Linked DNA regions of Stegostoma tigrinum. The protein of the gene in region 1 binds, or shares a complex with, the protein of each later gene. Links are inferred from orthologs where the notes say so. Each region holds a gene or a part of one and is shown in the gene's direction. Other genes may lie near its edges.

Evidence for each region.
Region 2: htatsf1 (region 1) and sf3a3 share a complex: the UniProt entries of both Homo sapiens proteins name them as parts of the 17S U2 SnRNP complex. The link is inferred for Stegostoma tigrinum from reciprocal best matches to the Homo sapiens genes HTATSF1 and SF3A3.

The regions. Positions count from the first base shown.
Region 1 is NC_081371.1:10,945,138-10,952,731, forward strand, and holds the start of htatsf1 (HIV Tat-specific factor 1), read left to right. Parts: upstream 1-4,571; 5' UTR 4,572-4,678; coding exon 4,679-4,843; intron 4,844-5,805; coding exon 5,806-5,998; intron 5,999-7,594. UniProt on the Homo sapiens protein: Component of the 17S U2 SnRNP complex of the spliceosome, a large ribonucleoprotein complex that removes introns from transcribed pre-mRNAs.
Region 2 is NC_081377.1:18,061,825-18,068,924, reverse strand, and holds the start of sf3a3 (splicing factor 3A subunit 3), read left to right. Parts: upstream 1-4,079; 5' UTR 4,080-4,148; coding exon 4,149-4,244; intron 4,245-7,100. UniProt on the Homo sapiens protein: Component of the 17S U2 SnRNP complex of the spliceosome, a large ribonucleoprotein complex that removes introns from transcribed pre-mRNAs.

The DNA.
Region 1 (7,594 bases):
ATTAAATGCCAACATTCCATTTCTTTCCTCAAGACTTTCTCTACCCAGATAATAGATCTTTGCTCTAGATACTCAGATCTTTGCTTTTTACCTTATGCATTCCAAAGTCATTTCAGTTCTTATTTCTTCTATTTTAAAAGGGACAGTCCACTTTTAACAAGTGAAGGTCAGCTACAACGTGAGGATGGATTGTAAAGCCAACCCGACCCCCTGTTCCCCATCTTCCCTTTGACTGAAACAGAATACTTATAAAATGAAAGATAACAAAGTGTGAAGCTGGACAAACACAGCAGGCCAAGCAGCATCTCAGGAGCACAAAAGCTGACGTTTCGGGCCTACACCCTTCATCAGAGAGGGGGATGGGGAGAGGGTTCTGGAATAAATAGGGAGAGAGGGGGAGGCGGACCGAAGACGGAGAGAAAAGAAGATAGGTGGAGAGGAGAGTATAGGTGGGGAGGTAGGGAGGGGATAGGTCAGTTCAGGGAAGACGGACAGGTCAAGGAGGTGGGATGAGGTTAGTAGGTAGGAAATGGAGGCGTGGCTTGGGGTGGGAGGAAGGGATGGGTGAGAGGAAGAACAGGTTAGGGAAGCGGAGACAGGCTGGGCTGGTTTTGGGTTGCGGTGGGGGAGGGGACGAGCTGGGCTGGTTTTGGGATGCAGTGGGGGAAGGGGAGATTTTGAAGCTTGTGAAGTCCACATTGATACCATTGGGCTGCAGGGTTCCCAAGCGGAATATGAGTTGCTGTTCCTACAACCTTCGGGTGGCATCATTGTGGCACTGCAGGAGGCCCATGATGGACATGTCGTCTGGGGAATGGGAGGGGGAGTGGAAATGGTTCGCGACAGGGAGGTGCAGTTGTTTATTGCGAATCGAGCGGAGGTGTTCTGCAAAGCGGTCCCCAAGCCTCCGCTTGGTTTCCCCAATGTAGAGGAAGCCACACCGGGTACAATGGATACAGTATACCACATTGGCAGATGTGCAGGTGAACATCTGCTTTATAACATGAAGTTCACTGCCTGCCCTGTTCCGAGGAAGGATCACCGGACCCGAAATGTGAACTCACAGATGCTGCCAGACCTGCTGAGCTTTTCCAGCATCTTCTGTTTTGTTGCACACCCTGCCTGCTGCCTTGCTGTGCACCATCAGACTTGGTCCCATTTTGCAGGGTGGTAGAAGTGTCACGTGCACTGTCAAGTGTTCGGTGCCCTTGTCCCTATTCCACACCAGAATTAGAAGCAACAGTAGACAGTACGGCAGCTCAGGGCTGTTCCACCATGCAATTTGATCATGATTAATCTGACTGTGGCCCTAACCCTGCTTTCCCGTTCATCCTCCCTCACTGTGGACTCTCTAAATCCAACTTAAATTTTCTCAGCCTCTACTATTCCCTGGGTAGGAAAATTCCAAAGACCAGTGATCCTTCGAGGGAAAACGTTTCTCCTCCTCTTAGCCTTAAATGGAAGACACCTCATTTTTAAACTCTTTCCCCTAGTTCCACACTCCCCTACAAGTGGAAACATGCTCTCAATGTCTGCCCTCTATACAGTCTCTCAAGATCATATATATTTCAATAAGATCACCATTCATTCTCCTAAAGCACCAACCTTTTCAATCTTTCCTCAGAAGATAACCTCTTCACCACAGGAATAAGTCAAGTGAAGCTTTTCAGAGATGCTTCTAATGCAAAACAATGCTTCCTTGAGTAAGGAGATCAAAACTGTACATAGTACCCCATATGTGGTCCCAGCACAACTGCAGTAACACATCTCTACTTATGTGATTGTAGATATTTTTAACTAATTTATTCAGATGTGTTATGACACACATCTGGAGCAGGTGGGAGTTGAACCCAAGCCTCCAGGTTAAATGGTAGGGCCACTGCTATTGTGCCACAAGCCATTTGATTTCTTTAACTGTGTACTTGCATTAAATGCAAACATTCCATTTTTTTCTTCATGACTTGCTCTACCCAGATACTAGTTTTCTGTGTTTTATGTGTCAGGATGTTAAGAGTCCTCTGCACCATAGAAGGATCTCTCTCCATTCAAATAATAGTCAGCTTTTCTATTCTTCCTGCCAAAGTGGACAAATTTACATTGTCCCACGTTATATGAGATCAGCCAAATTTTTACCCACTCATTAAACCTAATTCCCTTTGCAGATGGCTAAATTAGAGTATGCGGTGCTAAGAGCAAAGTCGTGGTATGCATAGAAGATTGGCTGTCTGGTAGATATCAGAGAGTAGGGATAAAGGAATTTTTTCTTAGAATGGCAGCCAGTGACAAATGGAGTTCTGTAGAGGTCCGTGTTGGGACCACAACTATTCATGTTATATATTAACAAGCTGGACAAAGGAACTGATTGAAACTTACAGAGTACTGAGAGTCCTGGATAGAGTGGACATGGAGAAGATGTTTCCGCTAGTAGGAGAAACGAAGACCTGAAAGCACAGAACTTCAGAATGAAGGAATGACCATTTAGAACTGAAAGAAAGATGGATTTTTTCAGCTACAGGATGGTTAACCTGTTAAACTCTTGCTGCGTATGGCTGCAGAGATCAAGTTATTGAGGCCATTTAAGACAGGTTCTTGATTGATAAGGGGATTAAGGGTTAAAGGGAGAAGAGGGTTGAGAAACTAATTGGTTATGATCGAATGTGGAACAGACCCGTTGGACCGAATGGCTGAATTCTGCTCCAACATCTTATGACATTACAACAGCTTATCTCCTCTTGATAACTTACTCTTCTGTATATCTTTGTGTTATTGGCAAATTTGACAATCACGTATTCAGTCCTTTCATTTAAATCATTGATATATTGATGTGGATTGTAAATAGTTGTGCCTCAGAACTGAATCCAGTGGCATCCTGCTGCTCACATTTTGCCAACCCAAAAATTATTTATTTATTCCTGTTTACTTCTTGTCAGCAAACTCCTAAACTGTTATCTTCATCCCTTCTCCATGCCCTCTTATTTTACGCAATCATCACTAACCATTTATTGCCCACCCTTTGTTGCCATTGATAAGATGCTGTGAACTGCTTCAGTCTATTTACTGCAGGTACCCTCACAATGCTTTTAGGGGTGGAGTTTTCGGATTTTGACCTAGCAACCCAAAAGAAACAGCCATATATTTCCAAATCTGGACAGTGAGTGACATGGAAGTAACATGCAGGTGGTGATCCAGTATATTCACAGTCCTGGGACCCTCTAGATATTGAGGTCCTAGCTAGTTACATTTAGATTCTAATTTCTTTATTTCTCAATCATTTTTTGCTGTTTTCTAAAATCTGTCCAATTTTCTGATCTACCTCAACTAATCGTCACAGGATTGTACGCTTTCCTCTTTCAATATAATAACTATCTTTAACTTCCTTTGCTATCTCATATATTCTATTGAGAAGTGATCCTATCTTCATTGAAGTTATATTTGCTTAAGTGTCTGTCATTGTTCTTCTATTGCATCACCTTTTTAATCTGTCTTCCAAATGCATTTTGGCCAGCATAGCCTCATAATTTGTAATTGCATCTGCTAAAGTTTAAAGTACTAAAATTGCAGGTGTTGTGAATACCAAAGAAGGTTGCCTCGGAGTACGATTGCATCTTGATCAGATGGGTCAATGGGATGAGGATCGGCAAATAGAGTGTAATTTAGATAAATGTGAGGTGCTGCATGATCAAAAGGCAAATCAGAGCAGGAATTATACATTTAATGGTAAGGTCCTGGGGAGTGTTGCTAAAGAGACCTTGGAGGGCAGATTCATAGTTCCTTGAATGTGGAGGCACAGCTAAATAGGATAGTGAAGAAGGCATTTGGTATGCTTGCCTTAATTTGTCAATGCATTGAGTATAGGTGTTGGGATGTCATGTTGCGGCTGTACATTGGCTAGGCCACTACTGGAATACTGTATGCAATTCTGGCCTCCCTGCTAATAGGAAGAATGCTGTGAAACTTGAAAGGGTTCAGCAATGATTTACAAGGATGTTGCCAGGGTTGGAGGGTTTGAGCTTTAGGAAGAAGTTGAGTAGGGTGGGCTTATTTTCCCAGGAGCATGGTGGCCGAGGAGTGACCTTATCAATGTTTATAAAATCATGAGGGGCATGGATAGGATAAATAGGCAAGGGCTTTTTCTCCTGGGGTGGGGAGATTCCAAAACTAGCCAGCATTGGCTTAAGGTGAGAAGGGAAAGATATGAAAGGGACCTAAGGAGCAACATTTTCACGCAGGGGGTGATGTGTGTATAGAATGAGCTGTCAGAAGAAGTGGCAGAGGCCGATACAATTACAACATTTAAAAGGCATCAGGATGGGTATATGAATAGCAAGAGTTTAGAGGGAGATGGGCCAAATAGGACTAGACTAATTTAGCATGTTTTGTTAGCATGGACAAGTTGGGCCGAATGGTCTGTTTCCTTACAGTACAGCTCCATGCCTCTATCCCTTAACAGGTTGATGTAGACCATACATAAACCTGTACCTGAGCCATCAGCATCTCCTCCACCAAAACCACGTGACACAGGCCCTGCCAGCTCCCGGAAATGACATCTCAAACAGGGAGCTGAAGGTCAGAGTTCGGCGAGTCTGCGTATCGAGGTGCTTTAAGGCGACTTTAAGAGAGTGGCGGCTGACCGCGTTTATTTTTGGGCCGATTGGTGTTTAATTTTCGGGCCCGGAGGATGAGCGGTGAGGAGGCGAACGCCGATTTCCACGAGCAGCTGCGGCTGCAGCGGCTGCTGGAGGGCGGAGAGGCCGAGGAGGCGTGGGGCCGCACGAGCACTTTCGTGGACGCGGAGGGCACCGAGTTCGAGTGGGACTGGGAGAGGAAAGCCTGGTTCCCCAAGGTACGGCCGGGGGTGGGACTGGGCGGAACACTGCCCACCCCCATGACCCCTCTGCAGGCCGCACTCCCGGCCCTGAGCCAATTCTCTCCCCCCGCCACCACCACCATATTTTCGCCAGGTCCTTGACCCCCCCCCCCCCCCCAGGCCTTTCAACCCCAATTTTCCCCCATCCCACCCTTGCCCCCTTTTCCATGTCTTTCAATCCCCCACCCTTCCAGTTTGGTCAACCCTAATCCAATCCCACCCCCCTCCCCTTTCCAGGTCTTTCAACCCCAGTTCCCCCCCCCATTCCAAGTTTTTCAACCACAGTTCTTCTCTCTCTCTCTTCCCCCCCCCCCACCCCCGGTTCGAGGTCTTTCAACCCGAGACCCCACGCCCCCCCCCCCCCTTTCAGGTCTTTCAACCCCAGTTTCACCTCCCCCCATCACCAACCCCCCCCCTTTCCAGGTCTTTCAACCCCAGTCTCTTCCCCCCCCGCCCCCCCCAGGTCTTTCACCCTAAACCTGAACCTTTCAGATTTTTGAACCCATTCCTGCCTTTCCAGGTCATTGATAATATGAGATAACATGGTACGGAGCTGGATCAACACAGCAGGCTAAGCAGAATCAGAGGAGCAGGATGGCTGACGTTTCAGGCCTAGACCCGAAACATCAGTCTTCCTACACCTTGTTATCTCAGATTCTCCAGCATCTGCAGTTCCTACTACCTTTTTCCAGGTCATTCACTGCCAAAGTCTGCACCCACCCTCCCTGCCCACACTCTCCATTTCCACACCCTCCATTTCCACCTAGCTTACGTGACCTTGCTATTCGCACATTCTTGGTACCATCTCCACGCACACACATCCCGACCCATATCCCTCCAAACCCTTCCTATTTGTGTACCCACCCAGAACCGCTCTAAACTCGTTGACAGTTTTCAACTACTTGTCGTACACATCCTGTCGTAACAATTGTTTCCAGATCACTGAAGATTTTCTTGCAACATATCATGCAAACTACGGTTACGTTGAAGAGGACCCTGAGAACAGTGGCAATTCCACCACTGAAACCCAGAAGACAGCAGCCATTCTGCAAAAGTCTTCAGGAGATAATGCAGCTCAAGGGGATCCTAAAGAAACAAAGCAAAAAGGAGAGAAAAGAAAAGTGGACATCGGTGATGCTATTTTTCTTCCTGTCATTCTAGCACTTTTGGATATTATTTCAGATTTGAAAACTAGATTTATTTAAAGGACTAGACAGGCACATGAGTAGATCACTGGTCCGTGCTGTGTGGATATAGATCAGTTCACTATTGCGTTGATTTTGTTGATGAGCCCTGGTCATTTGTCGCTGATTTGCTTTGAGACTTTACCGAAGTCACACTCAAATTTTACTGTTACTCATGTATTTTCTCTGGTGTTTTTTTCATTCTCAGCCAGTCTCATCTTCAGGAACGGTAGTGAATGTAACCTGGCAGCGTTAATTGTGTAAAACACAAAGTTGTCTAAAATGTTATTTAAAATGCAAAGTTGATTATTCGTAAAATAATTTAGTATACAATATGACCAACAGTAATTCAAGACATAAGCATTATCCCTCCCCTTGGCAACAGTTTGAGGCTTAATCACACTGTTTACACCTTTGGTTGTAAATTTGACCCCGAAATGAAATGATTGCATACATACTGACTGGTATGGCTTCCCTGTCTTGATTTTTCTTTTAAGAAATCTCTTGCACATTTTCATATGCATCCATAGCCGTGTCCCCCAGCTATGTCTTAAATCTACTTCGAGCTCTCAACCCTCTGATATATCTGCAGTCATTTAATTCTGGCCTTTGGAACATCCCTGTGACTTCAGCCAACAAGGCCCAGAGCTTTGGAATTCCTTGCCTAAACCTGTCCGACTCTGTTTTCTCCTTTTTTAAAGATGTTCCTTCAAATTCGTTTGCCCTAATACCTGTCAATGTGGCAATATCAAATATTGTTTATGACACTACAGTGAAATGCTTGTACTTTGTACATGAAGAAACTGCAAATTGACCAATGTGCAAACACGTGTATGTACCTAACAAGAGTCTGTGGAACTTGGAACACACTGCTAAGAGTGGTAGAGGCAGAGCCCCTTGTAACATGCTAAGAAGTATTTAAAAGTAAACTTGTGGTGCCAAGGCATAAAGACCCTTCATAAGCCTATTAGAATAGGTAGGTGGTTGATTTTGATCATGCCTTCCCTGTGCTGTAGATCTCAATGATTCAATTGTGCAAATTGCTATGTTGACTGCATGGTCTTTCCTTTGTTCTTGATGGATTATTGAATTTTAATTCCAATAATCACAATGTTGGCATTAGTGATAACAGTTCAAACAAATCTACTGGAGCATCTCCTTGTAATTTGATTTGACATTGGCAACAGTTTTATTAAATCATTTTTGAGGCTGACTTGTCAATCTTGTATTGCTGTCTTTAACTTGTCTCTTGAGATGGATACAAATGTAATTGAACAACCTCTGAAAAATGACAATCAGAAAGTATTGTCCGCATGTCATATTTCTGATAATGGAATGATGCAATTTTCTCACAGATAAATAATTTGAAAAGTAAAAGGCAAAATTTTTGGTTTTAATGCTGCAACTCATGTAACATGACAAATCTTGGTCTCACCAACTTTAATAATTTATTTCACCCAAGTTCCAAAGTAAATGATTCTGACATTTGTAAAGATGCTGAATTAATACTTGAAGAACTGTGTGTTCCCCATTGTTCAGTTTC
Region 2 (7,100 bases), on another chromosome or scaffold:
GTAACACTGCACATTTTTCCTTTTTAGTTAGCCCAACAGCCTTCTAAGTGCTCCTACAAAATTGATCTCCACCATGCTGTTTGGCATGCTGTTTAAAAAAAGAAGTTAGGTGCTAATTAAATCAACAATGTAAAGAAAGGTTTTACTCCTTGGCTTCCTATATTCATCCATCCACGTATTAATTTGCGTCCAGCAGTTGCAAACACGCGAGGCGAGACCAGTTTTATCCAAAAGATGCTCATCCATTGGGAGCTGAATCAAGACTGTAGCCTAGAACTTTTTCTAGTAAGAAATTTAAGAACTCTTATGATGGTGGAAATGATTACTGGACTTGGACCCAAGAGACTGGCCTAACATCCTCTGGCAGCAGTTCTCCAGCTCAAGTATTTGTGAAGGTAAAACCGAAGCTGAGCTCAGTACTCACCATCCATAAGGCACCTTTTGTGCCATCTAGTGGTCATTGAATGATTAACCCAAACACTGGATGGGATAAGAAGCACTGTTGAAGCAACGAGCCCCAAGTGTTGGACTCACTGAAAGTTCAAATGAAGAATTTATATGAACTTATAATTCTTTGATAGAAATTTCTGGAAGTGCTGAGGTCTTCCAGCACTTTCTGCTTCCACCACAAAAAAACTGGAAGCACTCGCTTTTCCAATTGGTCTCTTTATGAGGGTGTCACCTGTTAATACCAGACTATGCAGGCAAAAGCTGACACCTGAACGCTTCTTGTAATGTACTTGTAGCATCCCTACCTTTGAGCTAGGAGGCCTAGGTTCAAGTCACACCTGCTCTAGAGTTGTCTAATAATATCTTTGGCCAGGTTTGGTTAGAAAATATAAAAACAACTACCTCCTGTACTAATACAGTGTGGAGCTGGAGGAACACATCAGGCCGGGTAGCATCAGAGGAGCAGGGAGGCTGACATAGGCTTTTCTGAAGAAGTGTCCTGACCCGTAACATCAGCTTTCCTACTCCTCTGATTCTGCCCGTCCTGCTGTGTTCCTCCAGCTCCACATTGTGTTGCCTATGACATTGGCAGTTCTTATTATCTCTGACTCCTGTATTTCCTTATTTAGACATACTTTCCAAACCTGAAGGAAATTATATTCATCCTTAATATTAAAATCATGCAAATTAAAATTAACATTACACACAGATTTTGAGTTATGTTGAAGTGCATCTTAAATTTGATGTTAAGGTACAATGACAGAAGAAATCATTGACACAGACACAAAGCAAAAATTAAAGTAACTGGTGGAATAAAATTCTGACATCCCTTAAAAATTAAAAATAGGCAGATTGGGAAGCAATTCTTCTCTCAAAGTGCAATGAAACTTTGGAACTATTGCTGCCAAAAAGCTGGCTAAGGAGTGGGGTTGGGACGGCCACAGGGTAAACTGGATGCTTGCCTTGGGCAGCATGATTTGGGGAGCTGCAAAAAAAACCCTGCGAGCTTTTTAAATAATTTTGAACTGAAACGCATAATTTTATACAACTTGGTTTCATTGTTGTTGTTTCCTGGGTCAAACACCAGTGCCATTATGATAGGACCTGACAGCTGCCCCGTAATTTAGCTCAGATTATGTTACCACAAAGGTTGGGTTCTTATTGGGACAGATATATTGAAGTTTATTCACAATATTTATTATTTACATAGCTGTAATATTATAAACATAGAAACTGCACAGGTTCTGTACTTTCTGATATTAGCCCATATGTTATACAGATGACAAATTGGCTGAACATACAACCCTGACTCCATGACACAGAAGTAACTGGTAGGTACTGGGACATCATGTATTTGAATGATGTGATGCTTGAAGGCGCACAACATGCCTTGGCCTGGAATCTATGCAATACCAAAACATCGCAATTCACACCCTTGTCTGCAGGGAAAGAACCTGCAATTGCCATCATCTTCCAGCATTACCATATGTTGATATCACATCCAATGTAACATCACCCAATCAAATTCAAACATCTTTAAACATACCATAAAAGCTAAGAGAACAGTGATTGGCTAGGATTCTGGTAGGTTGTGATGTGATTGATGGTGTTTTGAATTTCATTGAGGGGTTGGGTTAGTGTTTTGCAATGGATGTGAGAGGGGATTCATATCATTTTAATCTTTGTTGGGTCAGGGTTTGTTTTTAAGATTTACTGCAGATGGTCTTGCATTATTTTGACTGCGACTAGAAGTTAAACAGCAGAGCTTTAACCAACAGCCAATTCATTGCCTGGGTGTGTCATGTTAGTGATAAATTGACCAATGATAGTTCACTTGTCAAGAGTGACTGGCTCTGAGTGTTGGTCCATCCAAAATAGGAAAACACATTATCACTTATGAAGCAATTCAACTGACCTCTGTGTGTGTGTGTGTGTGTGTGTGTGTGTGTGTGTGTGTGTGTGTGTGTAGTACACACACTACAGCAGACTAATAGATGGGTAAATTTGCCGTATGGTACATTGGTAGAGGAGCGGGTCTGGTGGTTACATAGTCCACCAGAGCTGGAGTGGTGTGGGTGCTGACAAGGCCATAACGGTGTGTGGAGGTGGTTAGCTGCTGTCACAGCTGGTCCAAACTTTGAGTCCCCCACCACCGACGCACCTGAGCAGGGAAGGTACATGTACACATTGGATAAACAAAAAAAAAGCTATAGTGTACTCTGTACTGTGGAATAGTGCTACTTTGAGAAGGTCAGACCCTCGATATGCAAAACTGGGACATGGCATATACAGTTAATGGTAGGACGCTGTAGAGTGTTGCCAAACAAAGAGACCTCGGGGTATCGGTGCATTGTTCCTTGAAAGTGGAGTTGCAGGTGGACAGGGTAGTGAGGAAAGCATTTTGTATGCTTGCTTTCATTGGTCAGAGCATTTAGTGTATGAGTTGGGGTGTCATCCAGCAGCTGTACAGGACATTGGTGAAACCACTTTTGGAATACTGCTTACAATTCCGCTCACCTGTTTATGCAGCATGATTTTGTTAAACATGAGAGGGTGTAAAAAATATTTACAAGGATTTTGCATGGACAGGGGGTTTTGAGTTACAGAGAGAGGTTGAATAAGCAGGGGCTGGACTCTTTTCCCTGGAGTGGTGGAGACTAAGGGGTGACCATATAGAGGTTTATAAAATCATGCAGGGCCTGGATAGGGTGAATAGCCAAGGTTGTTTCCTGGGGCAGGGGGAGGGAGTCATGCAAAAGTAGCGGGCATAGTTTTTAAAGTGAGAGGGCAAAGATTTAAACAAAGATCTGAGGGGTAGCTTTACCATCGGTGTTGCATGAATGGAATGAGCTGCCAGAGGACATGGTGGAGGCAGGTACAATTACAACAGTTCAAAGGCATCTGGACGGTATTTGAATAGGAAGTGTTTAGAGAAATACGGGCCAAATAGTGGCAAATGGCATGAGATTAATTTAGGATATCTGGCTGGCATTGTTTGTTTCTGTGCTATATATCTCTACAACTCTACGTGGGACAAAGTCTTGGGTGAGCTCTGAACAGTGAGAGCAGAAAGCATAGTCACAGTCACTAATGTACTGCAATGGAGGCAGGAGTTGTGAACGAACCTGATTGCAACAAAGAATGTTCCGACTATTGACCAAGTTAATGCAGATATTTCATGAAGTCAACACTCCAGCCTCCGTGGACTGTGCTGTGAGCAAACCAGGATAAAACTCGCAGAAACATCAACATGAAGTAGAAACATGTTTCCTTGAACACTCCTGTGTAACTTAGTTGTGAAACATGTTGTGCGAATCTCACTGAGTTGGGAACTGCTGTCACTTTGGACAAAGCTGATAGACCCAGATGGGTTTCCCACAGCAACTCATTTTATTTGCTGAACAAGAAACAGAAATCACGGGAATGGTGGGATACATTTCCAACAAGGGAAACAAATCGACGTAAAAACACAAACAAATGAACGCAACAGTAAAATATATTGGCAGAAATGAAGCGTTTTCACGGTTGTTTTGCCTCTCTTTTGGGGGGGGGGGGAACGTTTCTCCAGCGGTCGCTGACGGCGGAGGCAGGAACGTGAACACCCCGAATTCCGGAAGGCAAGTCACGTCACGTCCGGCGGTCTGTCCAATCCGGGAGCGGGTCCGTCAGTTTCAGCACGGTCGTCGTGTCCCGCCGCAATGGAGACCATTCTGGAGCAGCAGCGCCGTTACCATGAGGAGAAGGAGCGGCTGATGGATGTGATGGTGAAGGAGATGATGGTGAAGAAGTCCACGGTGAGCGGGGGAGGGCGGTTGTGTTCAGGTTTTCGGCTGCTTCCTCTCCTCCCCCGGGAGGCCGGGCCCCTCAGCCTCGCTGTAGGAAACCCCTGCCCCTCCACCCCCCGGGGGCCCGGGGTCGTACACAGAAAAGCTCATAGTTTTTAAAAAGGGCATCTCAGACTGTTAGACCGTGAAATGTATCGGTGGAATAAGGCCATTCAGCCCCTCGAATCCACCCATCACTCAATGAACACAAAAGCTGGCGATTACAGTGGGTCAGGCAGCATCCACCCACGCCCCTCCACCTCCTCCCGAACTTCCAGTTCCCCGGTCCCCCACATCTCATTTTCACCGTGGACGTCCAGTCCCTATACACCTCCATTCCCGTACAGATGGCCGAAAGGCCCTCGGCTTCTTCCTGTCCCGCAGATCCGACCAGTCCCCCTCCACTGACACCCTCATCCGCTTATCCGAACTCATCCTAACCTTCAACAACTCTTTCAATTCCTCCCACTTCCTGCAGACAAAGGGGATGGCCATGGGTACCTGCATGGGCCCAAGCTATGCCTGCCTCTTTGTACGTTACGTGTAACAATCCCTCTTCCGTAACTACACTGGCCCTAAACCTAATCCCTTCCTCCGTTAAACTGATGACCATATCGGCACCGCCTCCTGCTCCCACGAGGAGCTCGAACAGTTCATCCACTTCAACATCTTCCAGCCCAACCTTAGGTTCACCTGGATCATCTCTAACACCTCTCTCTCTCCTTTCTGACTCCTCTGTCTCCATCTCAGGCAACCACCTCAAAACCAAGATCTGTTTCAAGCCCACATACTCCCACAGCTACGTAGAATACACCCCCTCCCACCCACCTTCCTGCAAAAATGCCAAAGCCATTCTCAATTCCTTTGCCTCCTCCACATCTGCTCCCAGGATGAGGCATTCCACACCTGTACATCTCAGATGTCCTAATTTTTCAAGGACTGCAAACCCCTGTAGTGGTCAAGAATGCCCTCAACCATGTGTCCCGCATTTCATACAACTCATCCCTCACTTCCCACAACTCATCCCTCACACCCCGTCCCCGCAATAATCACCAAAAGAGAATCCCCCTTGTCCTCATGTACCATCCCTCCAACCTCCAGATACAACGCATCAACCTCCGACACTTCTGCCATCTGCCAAAGACCACCTCACCACCAAATTCATTTTTCTCTCCCTACCCTTGTCTACTTTCCAGAGGGATCACTCTCTCTGTGACTCCCTTGTCCGCTCCACACTCCCGTCCAACCCCACCACACCCAGCACTTTTCCCTGCAACCACAGGAAGTGCTACGCCTGCCCCCATCCCTCCTCCCTCACCCCCATCCCAGGTCCCAAGAAGACTTTCCACATCAAGCAGATGTTCACCTGCACATCTGCCAATGTGCTATATTGTATCCAGTGGACCCGGTGTGGCCTCTGCCACATCGGGGAAACCAGGCGGAGACTTGAGGACCAATTTGCAGAATACCTCCACTCGGTTAGCAATAAACAACTGCACCTCCCAGTCATGAACTATTTCACCTCCCCCTCCCGTTCCTTAGACGACATGTCCATCCTGGGCCTCCTGCAGTCCCACATCGATGCCACCTGAAGGTTGCAGGAACAGCAACTCTTGGGAACCTTGCAGCCCAATGCTATCAATGTGGATTCACAAAAAACTAACTGCAACTAACCCCTACTGCATCCCAAAACCAGCCCAGTTCATCCCCGCCTCCCTAACCTGTTCTTCCTCCCACCTATCCCCCGCCTCCCACCTCAAGCCCCACCTCCATTTCCTTCCTACTAACCTCATCCCGCCCCCTTGACCTGTCTGTCCTCCTCAGACTGACCTATCACCTCCCCACCTCTACTGGCTCCATCCCCGCCTCTTTAACTTGTCAGTCTCCTCTCCACCTATCTTCTCCTCTGTCCAACTTCGATCCACCTCCCCCTCTCTCCCTATTTATTTCAGAACCCTCTCCCCCTCTCCCATTTCTGATGAAGGGTCTAGGCCTGAAATGTCAGCTTTTGTGCTCCTAAGATGCTGCTTGGCCTGCTGTGTTCGTCCAGCTCTACACTTTGTTATCCGTGGAATTGCGCACATGCTAACATTTCATGTCCAGATGACTCCTTGATCCCCAGCACTTGTTTTTAGTACAGACTCCAACATCTGCAGTAATTTGCTCCATCACTCTGTGAGATCGTTATCTGACAGTCCATTTCCCTGCCATACTCGATAAACTCCTTATCTCGTGCTGGTCAGAAATCTCTCCAACCTGGCCTGAAATGGATGTTGTAGTGCGGGGAATCCAGGCCAAGTGCTTCAAAGAAATAAACAGGAATTGCTGGAGGAACTCGGCAGGTCTTGCGGCATCTGTGCAGAGAACTGAAAGAACTGTGGACCTGTAAATCAGGAACAAAAACAGAAGTTGCTGGTAAAGCTCAGCAGGTTTGGCAGCATCTGTGAAGATAAAAGTCAGAGTTAATGTTTAGGGTCTGGTGACCCTTCCTCGGAATTGGAAGGGTCACCAGAACTGAAACGCGAACTCTAGTTTTTTGTTTCTTCGTAAGTGCTGCCAGATCTGCTGAGCTTTTCCAGCAATTTATGTTTATGGAGAGAAGTTATGAAGAACAGACACTGGACTCAAAGCTGTGACTATTTCTCTGTCGACCATTGCTGCAAGGCTAACTGAGTTTTTCCAGCATTTTTTTCCAGATTTTTAGCCATTCTTTGTTTTGTTCAGGTGTTTAAAATCTTTGGTTGATTCATTGGACTCAGTGTCATTCCTGAATTCATGTCCATATTGTCCATGTTTTCATTTTTGGAATACGAGTTTGAAAATTTC